2 linked regions of the Caenorhabditis elegans genome follow. The protein of the gene in region 2 purifies or fractionates together with the protein of the main gene of each other region. This does not show direct contact. Each region holds a gene or a part of one and is shown on either strand. Other genes may lie near its edges.

Region 1 (2,638 bases), on a different chromosome or scaffold from region 2:
TTTTCTTGATTTTTTTTGTTAAAAACTGATTCAAATCGGTTTGTATAGATTGTCGACCTGAAAAAAAAACATAATTCGACAGAAAAACACCTATAAAATTTGCTAAAATGTAAACAAAAACACTTTTTTTAAAATTGTAATGAAAAAATTGTTCTAAATCAGTTTTTTTTGCTCAAAAATTTGTGATTTTTCTGTTTTTTGAACTGAAAAACGAAAAAAACTGGTTTAAATCAATTTTTAACAAGAAAAAATAACGAAATTCGCTGCAAAAACGTTTTTTTTTTTAGTTTTCTCATTAAAAATTTGTGTTTCTCCTGTTTTTCGACTTGAAAAACAAATTTCAACAAAAAAAAAGAAAGAAAAACGCCAAAATTCTGGAAAAATGCACTAAAAAAGCGGCTACCATAAACTTTCGCGTCGAGACCCCTAAATCTGTGCGCCTTTGAGAAAAGTATATCAGAAAGAAATTAACTTTTTATCAACGCGAAAATTATTAAATGAATTTCAAACTTTTATTTTTGAAAAAAAATCCGAAAAACAAAAAAAAATGATAATAGAAAATATTTCTACTGCAGCTAAAAAGATAAAGAAATACAAAAATTATTCGAAAACGTCTTCCTTGTCGGCGATGTACTGGAAGATGTCGCGTGGCGTCTTGAAGCGATCCGCATCTCCGTCGGGAATCTCGAATCCAAACTCTTCCTCCATCGCCATCACAACTTCTACGTGATCCAGAGAGTCGAGGCCGAGATCTTTCGAGAAATCCGAGTCCATTGTGAGCTTCTTCGCGTCGATTTTGTCGTAGAGTGAGAGAACCAACACAATTCGCTCCTCGAGTGTCTTTTTGGTCAGTGGAGCCTGGAAAATGTTGTTTTCTTTTTGCGAAAAAATATTTTTTTTTTGTTAATTCCCACCTTTGCAGAGTATTGTCTGATTTGGAAGCTTGGTTTCTGTGCGGAGAGGAGTATTGGGGTGATGACTCGTTGTTGGACGGACGCATTGCTCAGTGCACGCACTGAAACAGTGCGGAGAGCAGCGGAAACGGCGACTCGCAACATTTCTGAACAAATAAATAATTAATAATAATTTTTCGAACCGAAATTCGAAAAAAATTTGACGGGAAATCGGGAAATGACTCATCGAGCCTGAAAAATAAGTGAAAAATAAAAAGAAACGCCCGCAAGCGTCGTCGGGTTTGATGCCGAGTACGCAAACACCGTCACGTCACATTGCACAGTCTTGCGAATTCAAATTAAAAAACAGATTTTCGTTCAGATTCGTGATGAATTCCCTAATTCCACCGCCAACTTCTGAGCAACAAATGAACATGTTCCGGCTCCGCGACAAAATGAGCCTCCTGAATGCAGAATTTCTCAAAGTCATCAACGGATATTTCACGGAAAAGAATCATTATGATTTTGTAAGTTTAAGGTTTAAAACCTTTTTTTTATGTCTAATTAAAGATCTAATCTTTCAGTCTGGAACTATGAAATCATATATGGATCATGTGGCACAGCTCAAGCAGATTTATAAGGTCGATGATGACGTTGCAGCCGATATGACAGTGCCCAGACGAACCGAAAACTCGTCTGAAAGTTCTGGAGAAACAGTTGCTCCGCGGAAAATAGCCAAAGCTGTGCGGAAGAATGGAACGCCAAAAAATCCGCTGAATTCTACAGTTTTCGCTGCCTCGAGCCCGGCGGCGACAGTCGCGTCTGTGCCCAAGTTTGGCGACATTTCAGTGATAACCAAGGAAACGCCAGCTCCACTCGCAAAAACCGCAGAGCCACTCGTTGCTCCAGCAGCTCCAGCGACCGCCCGAAAACGCGCGATTCGTGGCGGAGGACCTCTCGGTGGAGCTGAATCAGTGGTTTTCAAATCGGGCGAAGACGGACAAGCCGCCACGTCGAGTGTGAAGATTCCGGCTACGACGATCAAATTTCCGGAGCCCACCAAGGATTTCTGGACGAAAAAGTCTGATGCGCCGGCGGCTCCGAGTAATTCAGGCTCACTTTTCGCATTTTTGGGAAAAGAGTTAGTATATATATAATCGAAATTGGAAAAAATTCATTAAAATTGAATTTTCTAACATTTTGCCACATAAAAAATAGCATTTTCGTGGTGAGAATGCTACATTTTACGCTGAAAAATTGTTTTTTCCAACTAGAAATCGAAAATGTCGGCTTTTTTGCAAAAATAGCAATTTCAGACTATTTTCTATTAAAAAAAACCCACCAATATATCAAAATTTCAGTGGCGACAAGCCGAAGGAAACTCCAAAATTCAGTGGATTCTCGTTCGGAAAGAAGCCCGCCGAGCCTTCCGAAGAGCCAAAAGCTGCGGATTCCACACCAAAATTGACATTTGGCTCACCAAAAGAAGCAGATTTGCCGAAACCAGCTAGCTCTCTATTCGGAGCCAGTCCTTCTAAGCCTCTGGTGTTCGGAGGAAGCTCCGCAGACTCTACCACATCGGCTCCAAAACCTTTCTCGGCTCTTTCCACGGCAGCTTCATTATTTGGATCAAGCTCTGCCTCCACCACCACCACCGCCACTCAACCATTATCATTTGGCTCAAGCTCCACTGGAGGCTCAAGCCTTTTCAGCGGATTCGCTGGTCTCGCACAGAAAGCCATGGA
Region 2 (5,536 bases):
GCAGACCAATGTATTTTGATGAGATATGGTCTGCTAGACTACAAACTGCAAATTTCGATTTAGCAGACCAATGTATTTTGATGAGATATGGTCTGCTAGACTACAAACTACAAATTTCGAATTAGCAGACCAATGTGATTTTGAAGAGATTTGGTCTGCTAAGCTACAATCTACGATTTCCGATTTAACAGACCCAAGTTTTAAAAATCGCATTTTGTTGGAAATTGTTGGAAATTCCAAATTTTTCATTTCAAAAATTGAAATTTTAATAAAAATTTCTCATTCCAGGAGTCGTCAATGCCCTTACCCGTATTACAAAAGAAGAAGGTGTCCTAACTCTTTGGCGTGGATGTACACCTACAGTACTCCGAGCAATGGTCGTAAATGCCGCCCAACTTGCCACATATTCCCAGGCGAAACAGGCACTTTTGGCTTCTGGAAAGGTTCAAGATGGCATTTTCTGCCACTTTTTGGCATCAATGATCAGTGGATTGGCAACTACAATTGCATCGATGCCTGTCGATATTGCAAAAACGAGAATTCAATCAATGAAAGTTATTGATGGAAAACCGGAATATAAGAATGCTTTTGATGTTTGGGGAAAGGTAAATTTAACTTTTAAAAAAATGTAAAAATTCGAAAATCTAATTTTCCCGTTTTTGCTAAAAAGTAGGTTTTCACTCGGATATCCCCAAATTTTAAACCAAAAATTTAAATTTTCCAGGTCATCAAAAACGAAGGAATCTTCGCCCTCTGGAAGGGCTTTACCCCATATTACATGCGTCTTGGACCCCATACCGTGCTCACTTTCATCATTTTGGAACAAATGAATGCCGCCTACTTCCAATATGTGCTCAAGCGAGATGTGACCAGTGCCTTGTAGAATCGATTTTTCAGCTATTTTTCGACCAAAAAATCACAGTTTTATTATTTTTTTTGAACATAATTTTATGCTATTTAGGTTGTGTTGTGTACACTTTTCAGATTTTAAATTTTGGCCAGAAATTTTGTTTTAGCCAGGAAAATTCAGTATTTTTTCTTCAGTTTTTCGTGTTCATACCAATTTTTTCTTGTATTTTTTTCTGCATATAAATGCAATTTTTAATGATTTTCAAAACGTTTGTTCTCTGTTTTTTTTTTTGGTTTTTTCCCGCTTCTTATATTTTTTAAAATTCTATTTTCAGGTATTGCAGGCAGGGCTATTTCAGCCAAAAATCCATTTTTTCTCGATATTTTCATTTTTAATTTTGAAAAATCCAGATTACCATTCAAAAATCGACTTTTTTCTTAATTTCCATATTTTTAAGCAAACAATCGAAAATTTCAATTAAAAAATCCAATTTTTCAGATGAAACTGGTGCTCGTAAGCACTCGTGGAGTCCGTTCACTCAATTCAACCAATTTTCCGGCTCCATGGCCATTTGTGAAGAAAGGAGCATTTGGACAAAGGAAAATCGGTCCAATGAACTACGAAAAATTCAAATGGCCCGGACAGAATCGCGAATTTCCAGAACTTTCTCCGAAATTTCAGAAATTGAATCCAAAAGAGTTGCATAGGTGTGAAATTTTGTAATTTTTTTCAATATTAACCCCAAACGTTTTAAGACTTTTAAATTTCTCATCCAGACCACTTGGGTCTGCTAAATCGAAAATTGTAGTTTGTAGTCTAGCAGACCAAATTTCTTCAAAACAAAATGGGTCTGCTAAACGACAACTTGTAGTTTGTAGTGTAGCAGACCCAAAGTTTTCAATTTTCGCAATAAAAATTAGAAAATGATGAATTTTTCAATTTTTCAGTAGGAAAATGAATTTTTTTCAAATAGAAATTAGCAAAAATTCAAGTGTTTTGCAATTTTTGTGTTTTAAGACAAAAGTGCGTATTTTCATATTAAATCCTGAAAAAATCGGAACTTTCGGGGAAAATTGATCTAATATCAAATTTTTGAGTGAATTAACATTGTATTCCAAAAAAAAAAAGAATCAAAAATCTAAATTTTAAGCTGAAAACAGGCAATTTTTATATTGGTCTGCTAAATCGAAATGTGTAGTTTGTAGTCTAGCAGACCAAATTTCTTCAATATCACTCGGGTCTGCTAAATCGGTATTTGTAGTTTGTAGTCTAGTTTGTAGCAGGCCCATCCTCGATTATTTTCTAAAATTTTAATTTTCCAGGTACACCGGAGTCCAGGCGGACGGATTTCACGACGAAAAGACTGGAGAGTTTGTACCGGTGAAAGAGATGCGATCAGAGCTTGTTGTACCGAATTTGGATGGTTTCAAGTACGATTTAAGGGATTTTCAAATGAAAAATTCACGAAATATGGGTAAAACCCATGAAAATTGACTTTTTTTTTTGAATTTTCAAGTTCAGTTTCAAGTTTTCAGACTTCGGCCCTACGTCTCCTACCGTACAGATGTTCAAATCGAAAAGCGACGAGTTGCGTATGAGAAGAAAGTTTTGGAAAAAGGATCCGAACGATTGGCTGATTTACATACTGTTGAGGATGAGAGGTAAAACTAAAAATTTCTGATTTTTTTTATTTGAAATTACCTGAAAAAAAGCAGTTTTGTAGATTTTTTGCCCAAAAAATTGAAAAAAAAATTAAATTTTCCAGATGGCCACCACCGAAAATGTCAGCTGAAACATTGTTCGAATTGGCGTACGGCGACACTGTCCGAAGTGCATACAAGGAGGGAAAATATGGAAATAAATAATGTTAAATCGATTTTTTTTTCATAGATTTTTCATATTTTATAGCGATTTTTCTGTTATATTTTTTGTTTTTGTTGAAAAAAAAATTTCCCTTTTTTTTCTGTATTTTTTCCTCAAAATTCGAGTTGTTTCCCCTTTTTTATATTTAAAATTTTCAGATTTGAAGTCAAAAACCAAGAAATTGACTAATCTCCTAAACATAAACTTAAAAAAAAACGTCAAAAACCAAAAAATTTTAATTTTTAAAACTTACTTTTGAGTTTTTTTCCCTTTTTCAGAATTTTTCAACTGAGCAACTTTGAAAAATGGCTCAAAAATCGGCTTTAATCATATTGGCGGCCGAAGGAGCTGAGGAAATGGAGGTCATTATCACTGGAGATGTACTTGCTCGTGGTGAAATTCGTGTGGTTTATGCCGGATTAGATGGAGCCGAACCGGTACGGGAATTAGCAGAAAATTGTAAAAAATCTAGAATTTAAAAAATTAAAAATTCCGAAATCCCAAAAAAAAAAATCAATAATTGAGGTATTTTAACCCCAAAATATGTTTAAATTTGAGAAAAATTCAGAAATTTCAAATAATTTTTCTTTTCGAAACCAGTCAAAAATCATAAATATTCACATTTTCCAGGTAAAATGTGCTCGCGGAGCCCACATCGTGCCAGACGTCAAACTCGAAGACGTGGAAACCGAAAAATTCGATATTGTGATTCTTCCAGGCGGCCAACCGGGCAGCAACACGTTGGCTGAAAGCCTACTTGTCCGCGATGTTCTCAAGAGCCAAGTAGAGTCTGGTGGGCTGATTGGAGCAATTTGTGCAGCTCCAATTGCACTCTTGAGCCATGGAGTCAAGGCAGAACTTGTGACAAGTCATCCAAGTGTTAAGGAGAAACTCGAGAAAGGAGGTACAGCTGGTTTTGCACTTTTTTTGGTGAAAAGTCGCTAAAAATCGAACAATTTCATAGGGGAGCCTTAACTATTCATTAAAAAAATCTACATTAGGCAAAACTAGCGAATTTTTCACTTGCAACGTGGCCTGGAAAAAACTCGGCCACCGAATTTTCCGCGGCCACTTAGTGAGATCCTATAACTTTCATGACTTATGTGTTTCTATCCAAATTGATGGTATGAATATCGGTATTCTCGGCTGAAACATGCAATAAATACCGTATTCCAACCAACAATTCGGTGGAATAGAGCACATTTGTCACTGGGGATGCGGAAGCTATGCCCAAATTTTCATTTCTCCCCGAAAAACTTGTGATTTCCAGGCTACAAGTACTCGGAGGATCGTGTTGTTGTCAGTGGCAAAATCATCACCTCTCGTGGACCCGGAACTGCCTTCGAATTTGCGCTGAAAATTGTGGAGCTGCTTGAGGGAAAGGACAAGGCCACCAGCCTTATTGCTCCGATGCTCCTGAAGCTCTAATTCTTCCCGTTTTTTTTTCGCTGAATTTCCTCTTGGTTTATTGTATATTCGTCACAATTTCACGTTTTTCCCACACCTATAAATTATACATTTCTTTTTTAAATAAAAAATCTAGAAAGCTCCGAGAAAACTACAAATTTGTTTATCCAATGACAGCAGTCACCCGAGTAACGAGGACATACTCTGATGAGCTTAATCAACAGAGCGCGCGCGCGAGCAACTTAAAATGACTTCCGCGGTTATTTCCCTCACGAAACTTTGATTTTTCCTTTTTTCTCATTTTTCTTGCGAATTTATATTATTTCCTAAACTTAAGTGTAAGACGTGTAAGCCTAAGCCTATCCTAAACATAAGCCTAACAAAGTAAGCCTTAGCCTAGCCTAAGCCACAGCCTGAACCTAAGCCAAAGCCAATGCTTAAGGCCAAGTCTAGCCTATTCCTAAACCTAAGCCTAAGCGTAAGCCTAGCCTAAGCCAAAGCTGAAGCCTAAGTCTATCCAAAATATAAGCCTAAGCGTGAGCCTAGCCTAAACCTAAGCCTAAGCATAACCCTAAGCCTAAGCCTAAGCCTAGCCTAAGACTAGCCTAAAACTAAGCATAGCCTAAACATAAGCCTGAGTCTAAGCCTAAGTCTAATCCTAAACCAAAGCCTAAGCCTAAGTCTAGTCCTAAACCAAAGCCAAAGCCTAGCTAGTGAATCAAGTCCTGAACCAGAGAACTAACTAAGCCTTGAGCCCCCAGAAGCCCGGAGTTACCTCCAGTGCCGAAATTGACCGTCTTGGACTCTCTATTTTCAGATCCTGACGCATTCTGACCTTGATAATCGGCTTCTGACTCTCTTTTGTGGTCTTTTTTTCCAATTTTCAGAAAAAGCGATGATTTTTTTCCGGATTCTGTCACGTCAGAGATGTTGCAAGTCCGAGAAACATGACATTTTTTGTATTTTTGATTGTTCTGATTTTGATTTTTTGAATTTCCACACGAAAAGTGGTTGATTGAATGCCAGAAGATATCAGGATTTTTTGTTTAAAGAATCATCATACTTCCGTCTTTGACAAATCTTCGATACAATTTATCGTAATTGTGCTTGGCCATTACGGTTCATTTTCTATCATTTAAAATATCCTAGTAGGCCCAAAAAGGCTTGATCTACGTAGATCTACAAAAAATGCGGGAGTTTAGACGCAGAGTTCTCAACTGATTTCGCATAGTTAAGAACGTGCTGACGTCACATTTTTTTTGGGGCGAACAATTCCCACATTTTTTGTAGATTTTTTGTAAACATTTTTTGTAAACAGTGATCGGACAGCCTGACACCACGTGCTCTACCGTTAAGGTTACCTCCACCGACATCTTGCCTGTGCATGTATACATTTCTTTTATTCACTAAACCCTG

What was found. Proteins that work in one complex are often made in the same cells at the same time.
Region 1: the proteins of djr-1.1 (region 2) and ndab-1 fractionate together in Caenorhabditis elegans (co-fractionation; one large-scale study listed by BioGRID). This does not show direct contact.

What each region holds. Positions count from the first base shown.
Region 1 is NC_003281.10:11,914,653-11,917,290, forward strand, and holds ndab-1 (Acyl carrier protein), read right to left. Parts: upstream 1,061-2,638; 5' UTR 1,059-1,060; coding exon 915-1,058; intron 859-914; coding exon 601-858; 3' UTR 501-600; downstream 1-500. Other genes in the region: Nuclear pore complex protein npp-16, read left to right, coding at 1,283-1,420, 1,478-2,034, 2,255-2,638.
Region 2 is NC_003280.10:287,591-293,126, forward strand, and holds djr-1.1 (Glutathione-independent glyoxalase DJR-1.1), read left to right. Parts: upstream 1-2,991; 5' UTR 2,992-3,018; coding exon 3,019-3,150; intron 3,151-3,343; coding exon 3,344-3,617; intron 3,618-3,983; coding exon 3,984-4,141; 3' UTR 4,142-4,259; downstream 4,260-5,536. Other genes in the region: misc-1 (Mitochondrial 2-oxoglutarate/malate carrier protein), read left to right, coding at 289-605, 725-883; mrpl-41 (Large ribosomal subunit protein mL41), read left to right, coding at 1,349-1,557, 2,173-2,280, 2,386-2,511, 2,616-2,715.